Daphnia pulex: one gene and its partner. The protein of the gene in region 1 purifies or fractionates together with the protein of each later gene. This does not show direct contact. Links are inferred from orthologs where the notes say so. Each region holds a gene or a part of one and is shown on either strand. Other genes may lie near its edges.

The links. Proteins that work in one complex are often made in the same cells at the same time.
Region 2: the proteins of negative elongation factor B-like (region 1) and negative elongation factor A-like purify together in Homo sapiens (affinity purification with mass spectrometry; 8 studies listed by BioGRID and IntAct, counting the BioPlex papers as one, with this or other methods). This does not show direct contact. The link is inferred for Daphnia pulex from reciprocal best matches to the Homo sapiens genes NELFB and NELFA.

Annotation. Positions count from the first base shown.
Region 1 is NC_060017.1:4,644,531-4,648,891, reverse strand, and holds negative elongation factor B-like, read right to left. Parts: upstream 2,910-4,361; 5' UTR 2,757-2,909; coding exon 2,475-2,756; intron 2,416-2,474; coding exon 2,376-2,415; intron 2,320-2,375; coding exon 2,171-2,319; intron 2,115-2,170; coding exon 2,054-2,114; intron 1,996-2,053; coding exon 1,874-1,995; intron 1,771-1,873; coding exon 1,276-1,770; intron 1,217-1,275; coding exon 1,066-1,216; intron 1,006-1,065; coding exon 926-1,005; intron 868-925; coding exon 766-867; intron 706-765; coding exon 487-705; intron 422-486; coding exon 299-421; 3' UTR 268-298; downstream 1-267. Other genes in the region: malonate--CoA ligase ACSF3, mitochondrial-like, read left to right, coding at 3,289-3,658, 3,716-4,169, 4,233-4,361. UniProt on the Homo sapiens protein: Essential component of the NELF complex, a complex that negatively regulates the elongation of transcription by RNA polymerase II.
Region 2 is NC_060020.1:1,900,577-1,905,005, forward strand, and holds negative elongation factor A-like, read right to left. Parts: upstream 2,803-4,429; 5' UTR 2,646-2,802; coding exon 2,433-2,645; intron 2,331-2,432; coding exon 2,144-2,330; intron 2,075-2,143; coding exon 1,989-2,074; intron 1,919-1,988; coding exon 1,522-1,918; intron 1,454-1,521; coding exon 954-1,453; intron 886-953; coding exon 786-885; intron 715-785; coding exon 497-714; 3' UTR 32-496; downstream 1-31. UniProt on the Homo sapiens protein: Essential component of the NELF complex, a complex that negatively regulates the elongation of transcription by RNA polymerase II.

The sequences.
Region 1 (4,361 bases):
AGTCAAATGTAACCCTGACGACACAATTGGAGATTTGAAAAAATTGATTGCTGCGCAAACAGGTACCAGATGGGAGAAGATTGTTCTAAAAAAATGGTACACTATTTACAAGGATCACATCAAACTGGAGGACTGTAAGTAGTTTTTGAATTTGATGTTTTTTTATGGCTACTCCATATTGACTAAGTTTTATTCTCTTCTTGTAGATGAGATTCATGATGGGATGAATTTGGAGCTCTATTATCAATAAATCATCATTAAATCTTGTTTGTAAGCCTGACCAATACACTGTTTTATTCTACATTGACATTGGAGTAGGTACATTCATCATCAACACAGAGTCATCATTGTGGACTCCTTGAGTCATAGATGATGGGTTCAGCTGGTATGATTCAATTCTTTGCTCCAGTTGCTTATAGACCTAAAGGCAAAGCACATTTATGGACATTTTCTTTTTTTTCTATGCCAATATAATAATATTTTTACCTGATGCATGATTTCAGGGGATTGAGGATTTGGTTGAAGTGCTTTCATTAAGGTATCAAGTCTAGCAGCAGGTAGCTTATGATGAACATACCACACAAGTTTTGTTAAATGTCTGACAACATTCTCCTTGCCAATTGATGTGAAAAAAAATTCATCAAAAACAACTGTGCAAAACATTTCATTGACAAATTCATCCTGCATTGGAATCAGATGGGCAACCTATTTTCCAATTATAAAGTTATTTACTTTAATGATCTAATAGGTAAAATAGGATATTACCAAAGTGTGAAGGAAAGGATCTTCGAATGATCGTTCGCCGTGACCAACAGCAAGCGTGCCCAAAACACGAGTTAAAGCCACTTTGTCTCTACTTCTTGCCACCTAAATCCGAGGAATGACAGTAATAAATGCCATTATTCACATATAGTATAAATAATACCTGGAGAGTGTAATACATTGCTAGAACACAAGGTACACTACTTTCAGATATGTATGCTTGGAATGCATCGGGTGGAGGTCCTATTATTAGAAGCATTAAGTAAACGTGCCTTGAAACTTCACAGTAATGGTTACATGTACCTGAATGTTCGATAATGGTCAAAGCTGATTCACGTTCATCACTGGGTAATTTCGAGTTTAGAGATCGGACTTGATCATCCACCATTAGCGACATGAGAGCCGGAAGAAATTTCGTGACAACTTGAGAATCAAGCCGTGGTTCCCGAAATTCCTGCACAAGATTACTGAAATTAATAAAGGAATAATGGTTGTTTTGAATCTTCGTCCTACCTGAGAATCGATCATCTGCCATGCGCTTAAACCAAGCGCAAGCATCCGTAACAATAAAAGTAAAATATGGTGTTCTCGAGGCAAACTTTCTGATGCAACAAGGTTGTGCAAAATCTTCAACGATGACGTAGCTAAGAAATGGACGGCATAGGGATCGCACAGCATCATAGACAGATCTCCAAGAACTTGTTCCTGGCCACTTTTTATACCGTCGAGAAACGCTTGAATCTCTCGAGAACGTTTGGTGTCGACATTACGTTCCCTTATGCAAGCATCCACGCACCAGGTGAACTTGTGACATGGATCAACGTTTGTAATTTCTTGCACTTCCGTCTCATGTAGAGCCATAAGCAGTTCAGCACGCAATGTACAATAATGAACGTTACGAGTACGTAAAAATAATGTTCGTAAGAACTGCAAAACCATATCGTACAGCCGAACGTTATTTCCGATCATATGCGCTAGCTTCTGGACCACTTCTCCTTGGCGGCGAACCTGGGAATCGAAAGAAAGATTTTTATTTTTCTCCTTGACCAATAAAAAAGGTATATATTTTGTCGCAGCGCCACAAAGACCATTTAATACCATTTCATTTTACCTTAGGAGATGGTAGGAAAAACAAATTTGTCAGATTATTTTGATCAAAGAGAAGTTGTTCTTTTTCCTTGATATATTGACTGAGTAAAGGTGAAACCTCATCACCAAAAAGGGATTGGTTGTCTAAAATTTGAATGAAAAGTTATAATACTTGTATTTGAAATGTTATCTAAGAGGATACCTTTCCACATTTGCCTCTTAACCACAGTATCACAATCATCATAAAGTTCTTTGTCTTTCACCTGAGATCAATCATTTCATTAAATTCTGAATTCAAATAATAAATGTATTACATTACCAAAACTTTGAGGTATTTTTCATCAACATGAGAAAGGTGTTTCATAACTGCCATAACAACTGGCCTTAGAGCTTTAGTTTTAACTACAAGAAAGCTTTTGTTCAACAATTCTTTCAATTTCTTGTCTTTCTCTTTTCCTTCTTTTTGGCCTGAAGATAGTTAATGTAAAATAAAACTGATTTTAAAATAATTAAAGATGCATTACCTAAATCAGCAATTTGGGCCAAAAGCTTATCACGAAGTGCCTAAAAGCATAAAAATAATTGAAAACTAAGTGTGTTTTAAATCTTTTCATGTAAACAACCTCCATGACAGATATGTGGAAATCAAGCCGCTTTACTCCATGTAAATCCAAAAGTGGCATCATTGGTCTTAAAGAAGGTAGAAGTATTCCATTTTCAACTTGAAATTCTTCGATGGCTTGAAGAGGATCACTACACGAAGTCAAAGCTTCTCTGAGAAATGTTCCTCCGGGTATTCCAAGGACTTCAAGACCAGATGCAGATGGAGTGCTGGTTGATGGTGTTACACCAGCCGGCTGACCAGCTGCATTTGGAACTGCCGAGGAAGAGGGATTTCGACTCATAATTCAAAAAAATAACGTTTCACACGTAATGTATTTCAAATTATAATATCCCGAAGAATCAGTTTCTTCGCGCAGTTTTCACTTTTCAGTGTAACTCCCGGACACAAATTTCCAACAACAAGTTTTTGTTGACAGTCTAGACAACGTTGCCGTTTCACGAGTATTATAGAGGAGCATCTAATTAGAAAATAATTTAATTACAAAATATTGGGTGGTTGGACCCCAATTGTAATTGTTTTGATTTTTTCCCCTTTATATACATAACATTTAAAACGATTATAGAAAAGATTGCAAACGATTGTGCAAGCCTGTTGGTCTTTTTGACTTGCGAAAAGAGGCCGGGAGCTACAGCAGACGACATAAAGTATTTTTTTTTTGTAAACAAACACATCAGTTGTCTCTATCCAGACTTCCAAGTTCCAAGGTTACTTCATAGGATTATTAATATTCTTATCAGATTCGAATTTTATCTCGACGTGCAGAATTACACCTTTATAGATGATAAGATATCTCACGATTTATTACTTGACTGATGAATAACATGACGATGCTCTCTGTTTTTCTAAAGTCATTGAGATCCGGTGTACTTAATTCAACCCTTCGAAGTAGACCATACTCTATCAGTAATACAGATCCTCCAGGCAGAATTCAATCCACGATGGAAAATCGTGGTATCATTCCTGCACATCGAATTGCTCTTCAACATCTCAATCGAGTTGCTATTAAAGACAGCCATGGATCTCATACCTATTTGGATGTGTTGCTTAAAGCCATTAAATTGTCAAATATGATTAAAAGTTCTATAGGTCCAGAAAAAAATCAAGAAAGAATTGGCTTCCTCTGTCCGAATGACTCTACCTATGTTATATCTCAGTGGGCCTGTTGGGCGGCAGGGCACATTGGTATCAAAACATATATCAAAACATAAAGTTCTCTAATAATGATTATTTCTATTGCAGCTGTACCACTCAGTCCGGTTCATCCTCCATCTTTGTTGGGTTACTATGTCAAAGACTGTGATGCTGCCTTAATAATTGCTTCTCAAAGTCATTCCCAATTGCTTAATGCTGTCCACGAAACAGTTGGTCAGGATACCAAATCTGTAATTCTAGAAGAATCATGGCAACAAACCATCAACCAAAATGTTACACCCACCCAACTAAAATCCATTCTCTGTGACACAAAGCCAATGGAATTTTATCAGAATTCTGATGCTATGATGCTGTATACTAGTGGAACCACCGGCAAACCCAAGGGAGTTCTACTGAGTCATAAAAACATCGATGCTCAGGTACGAATGTTGATTGAAGTATGGCAATGGTCCAAAAAAGACGTCATCGTTCATGCGCTTCCACTTCATCACACTCATGGTGTTATAAACGCTTTGCTGTGTCCCCTATATGTAGGAGCCAGGTATTCGAATTTAAATGAAATTACTTACTGTTATCGACACTAAATTCAGCGGCTTAATTTCAGTTGTATTATGTTGCCCAAATTCGACTCGAAAGCAATTTGGGAAAATTTCTTAAATACTAACGTGAGTCAAGAGGAAAAGCCTACTCTGTTCATGGGTGTGCCTACAATGTACAGCAAACTACTCTCACA
Region 2 (4,429 bases), on another chromosome or scaffold:
TTTTTTATTCGCTTTGAATGATATGAACATGTTATGCATGGATCTGTGTGTATGAGAACTACAAGAAAACTGTACTTTGAAAGAAAGAAAAAAAATGAACAATTTTCAAATGCTGAGATACTGAACAGTATGCCGCCTCTAAGGCTTCAGCTTGGTTTGTGAGATGCGGGCGACACGGAGAGGATAAGGACTGAAAGTCAAGTCGAATCGATAGGAATGAAGAAAAACAGGGAAAGGAATAGTAATGTGCAAAACAGAACTGGAAAGAAGGGACAAGTTGAATCGACTTTGGCACCGAAATATATCAAAACAAAATAAATCCCGTGCCCCACAGTCGGAACAACGCGGTGGGTAGGGGATAGAGGGAAGGGCTTACTTTCTCATCCGCACTCATTTCTCCTCGCCTCTGTCTTGTAACATCCATCCTGCTGCTATTTACACAGAATTTTCAAGTCCCTCTCTCTCTCTCTCTACTGCAACCAGATTCGTTTCCTATTCAGCCCGTCGCTGTGGCCATGACGGTGGCGACCGACGCCGGAGTTTCTTCCGTTTTCCTCATTTTCTTGATGCGTTTCCATTCGCCGGCTGCATAGTTCATCTGGAAATGCGTCTCGACGACCCTGGTGGTGGTGACACCGTCGGTAGCCGTCACAACCTCCTCATCCTCGCTCAACTTGATGGTGACGATGTTTCCCAGATGTGGACAAGGATTTTCTAGAAATATCAGTAAGTAAAGAATGAACATTTCTTTTGTTTTCAAACAGCATCATTCCAATGAAAGTTACCCCGAGAGCCTGCCATGAATCCGAGGATAAGGGCTTTCTCCGGTCGTGTGACTTTGTTGGCGTTCTTGAACATTTCTTGAGCTTCTTGCATTTGCTCGCGCTATAGAAAACAAATGTTGAATTACCAAAGAATCATTCACCATGACTGCAACGACAATTAAAACTTACAGTGAGCATGAGTGCCACACTCTTTTTGGGTGGAGCGGCCGGTTGATTGGGAGTTGCTGCCGCCACTGCGACAGGCTGCCCAGCAGCAGCAGCTGGTTGAACCAACCGATAAACGGTGGGCACCGTAGTAGCAACAGCAGGTGTCGCAGCCGCCGTTTGAGCTGTGACAAGGCGTACCACTTGGGCAGGTGGGGCAGGAGAAGCTGGAGGTAGAGAACTGATTGAAGGAGTAGTAGGCGGACGGACGGCTACCATTCTAGGCGGCTCTTTCAACGGCGTAAGAGGTGGGATAGAAGTGGAGGCAAGTGGAGTGACAGGGGCGGCCGGGGTTGGAGGCGGGTTGCTCGGAAGAAGGCCAGCTGCATAGTCGGGCGTTGGAGTAGGTTTTTCGGGAGTTTCGGGGACACTGCCCGTCTCTGATTCTTCGCCCGAAAGCGGTTGTGCCGGATTTGTAGAGGTAGCCGTCGTTTCGGTGGCTGCTTTTTGGGCAGCTTCCAGTTCTTTACGGGGGGAAAAGAGGCAACAGCGTTAACAAGCAATTCGATAAATATAGCTGGATACGTATTACCTTGTTGTCGTTTTCTTTTCTTCGCCTGAGCAAATCCGATCGGCTGCTCATTGATGTCCAGCAATTTGATACCGCCATCTTTTCTGCCAGCTAACGTGCGAGGAGACGGACGGTTGGGACCAGCGGACGGAGAAGATCCTAGAGCACCGACACTTGTGGGCGTCGTCCCAACGCGCGAAAGTGGCGAAGCGAATCCTCCAATGTGCCGGCTAGGAATGCCTTTCAATGGTGTCGTGTCCGTCATCTTCCTTGGAATTCCTCGTGAGCGCAGTGGTACCGTAGGAGCAGGATTCTTTTTCAAGTTATTTTGGGCGTCGGTGGATTTCTGCAAAAGCTCGGCACGCAGCGCCGCTGACTTGGGTTTCCTCTTTAATGTGAAATGTTTGATGGGGTGGGACTGAAAGAGCAGAGTCAATCGCATATAATGTAACAGGTTCCATTTTGGCGCGAAACGAGATGAGCGTTACCTGCTGGCCGACAACAGTGAACAGTGCTGTTTTATTCAAATAGGGGCATTCTAAAGGAAGCATTCCAGTTTCTCCATGCTTTTTCACTGTAAGTTATGTTCAAAACCATTACGAAAAAGCCACGATGAAATGAATTTAGATTTTTGCCAAGTTACCAAGTTTTCTCAAATCATTTGCAAGATCGTTGAAGATTTTTCTTGTGTATTCATCGGTGGCAGAGCCAATTTCCATGTTGAGGGCTCCGGTGGCTGGGTATGTTTTGAGGATTTCAGCAACCATGGCTACCCACGGATCACCATCAACAACAGCCACTTCCAAAATTTCTTCCAACTCTGTCTTCCACTATACAAGTAATAAAAAACGATTACTTTTCAGAATCTACGAAGTGAAATGACAAACAAGATGGAGAAAAAGACGAAATCAAACTATATGAAGGCCACTGACCTCTTCTAAGTTCCTCCTTGAGAACTGGAAGAATGATAGTAGAAATTTGAGTTTGACTTGTGTTTGCAGCTCGACAAAGCATTCTTGAATGTTCTTCAAAACTTCGGGATTGAGTTGGGAACAAATTGAGCCGCCTGCCCAGGAATCAGTGCTGATACCAAGTTTATTATGAAGCCAAAGTGACGTATCTGAGTCTCTCACGTTGGACGCCATTTTCCGCCCTGTTTTTCTTTTTTCTTCCTTTGCTTTTCTCAAACACAAGGTTTCTTACAGCGAACGGAACAGTGCCCACAAACCAATTTCCCACTACTTGTTTACAACTTTTTCACTGTGAGCCAGAAAATGTCGATGCAGACAGCGTCACTGTGGCGTAGTTTCGGATGAGACCGAAACTTACTTTACCACTAACGGCCGCTAGGGGCGCTGCATGCCTGCCTCTATCTTTTTCGTTGCGCAAATTTGGGCTAGTTGCCACTGATACGATTGCTTGTTAGGCCAAACTTAAAAAAAAAAAAACGTATTTTGAACGACCGATGGAAACGGTCGCGGGAAAATCAAAGATGAAAATATCACAACGATGCCATATATTGTTATTAGTCACGTTTCTCGATGGGATGCTGTGCTGTGACTTGTGAATGGCGGTCGTAGAAAAGAAAAAAGAAAATACAAAATGGTTTTCCCCAAGCGGAATTATCTGTCGTTGAGTACAAGCGTTTGTTTGCGTTGCGATGAATGGACTTTTTCTTTTTTTTTATTTTACCAAAACCGCGTTGTTGGGAAACGTTGCTGCTGTTCAACTCGGCTGACTAGACTACAATGATTCGTTATCGAACAACCAAATAACGGACGTGAATCACTCGTCAGGAGGTCGCTTAATCGACCTAAGTAAATGATGTGCCATTTCTAAAGCTGTAAATATAGTTTCTTGTCGAAACTATTGTGTGTCGAGTGATCGAATGGTCCTAAAAGTACTCAACGCTCTACCATGTCGACCGTAATTGTATAACGAATTAGTCGGAAAACAAATTAAAAATTCCATTGTTATAATCTGATCTTTCGTTGCGCGCGATCGAGTTTCTCTTTAGAACTAACCTGCATTTTAGAATAGAAATATTTTGTTTTCTTTTAAATTTCAAACTTGACGCTGATTCCGTTTAAGACTCAGTGCAAGTATCAAACAACATGTAACGCAAACGCAACACGGATGAAGTGTATACAGTTAATCAATACAATGTCTCACTTCCAAACTCGCCAACTGATTTCAGGCGCCTTGATTCAATTAAGTACTATGTAGTACCTATCATTAAGTTCGTAACCCATAAAATCTCCCGGTGTCTCACTACTAGTTGGGTCTCGGTGCTCCGAAAGCCCGAAGTTGTGTCGGTCAATTCGCACGATTAACCCCTAATAAGGATCGTTGGTCCAATTAGGGCCCAGCAGTATTATTAGCGCAATGAAGTGCGAGCGTGTAATGCACCCAAATCCAAACCACCTTCCGTGACTTATTTCAATACTCAACTCCAATATGTGCTCTCATCTTAAATGTATGTTACACACCCATCTCCCCTTCAACGTCACATCAGTTTTCTATAAATAAAAAGCTTATTAAAAAACAAAAAAAACGTTGAAAAACAAAGTCATCTATTTCCGACGTTCTTCCTTATATCGTCTGGTTGGGTTAGGACAGTTCCGGCTACGATAGAATCTCTTAATAGGAAATTCAGTCGCTCTGATGTCCGTGTGGTTAATTAAGTGCTGAACAAAAGGAGCCCAGCATCAGATTAAATTTAAAAAAAGACCCAAAATGGAACGACTCTGCTGGCTCAGCAGTCGAGAATCTATTATGTAATAACCGTTTTGGGGGAGACAACATTTTGACATTTGAAAAGCACAAAAATCTGGCCTCAAAAAAATAAAAGGGCCATCGTTTAAATATAGTAAAATGAGCTTCCTCCTGTGACGTCGTCTTGTCCTAGTCGCGAGAAGTAGTGCTCCTA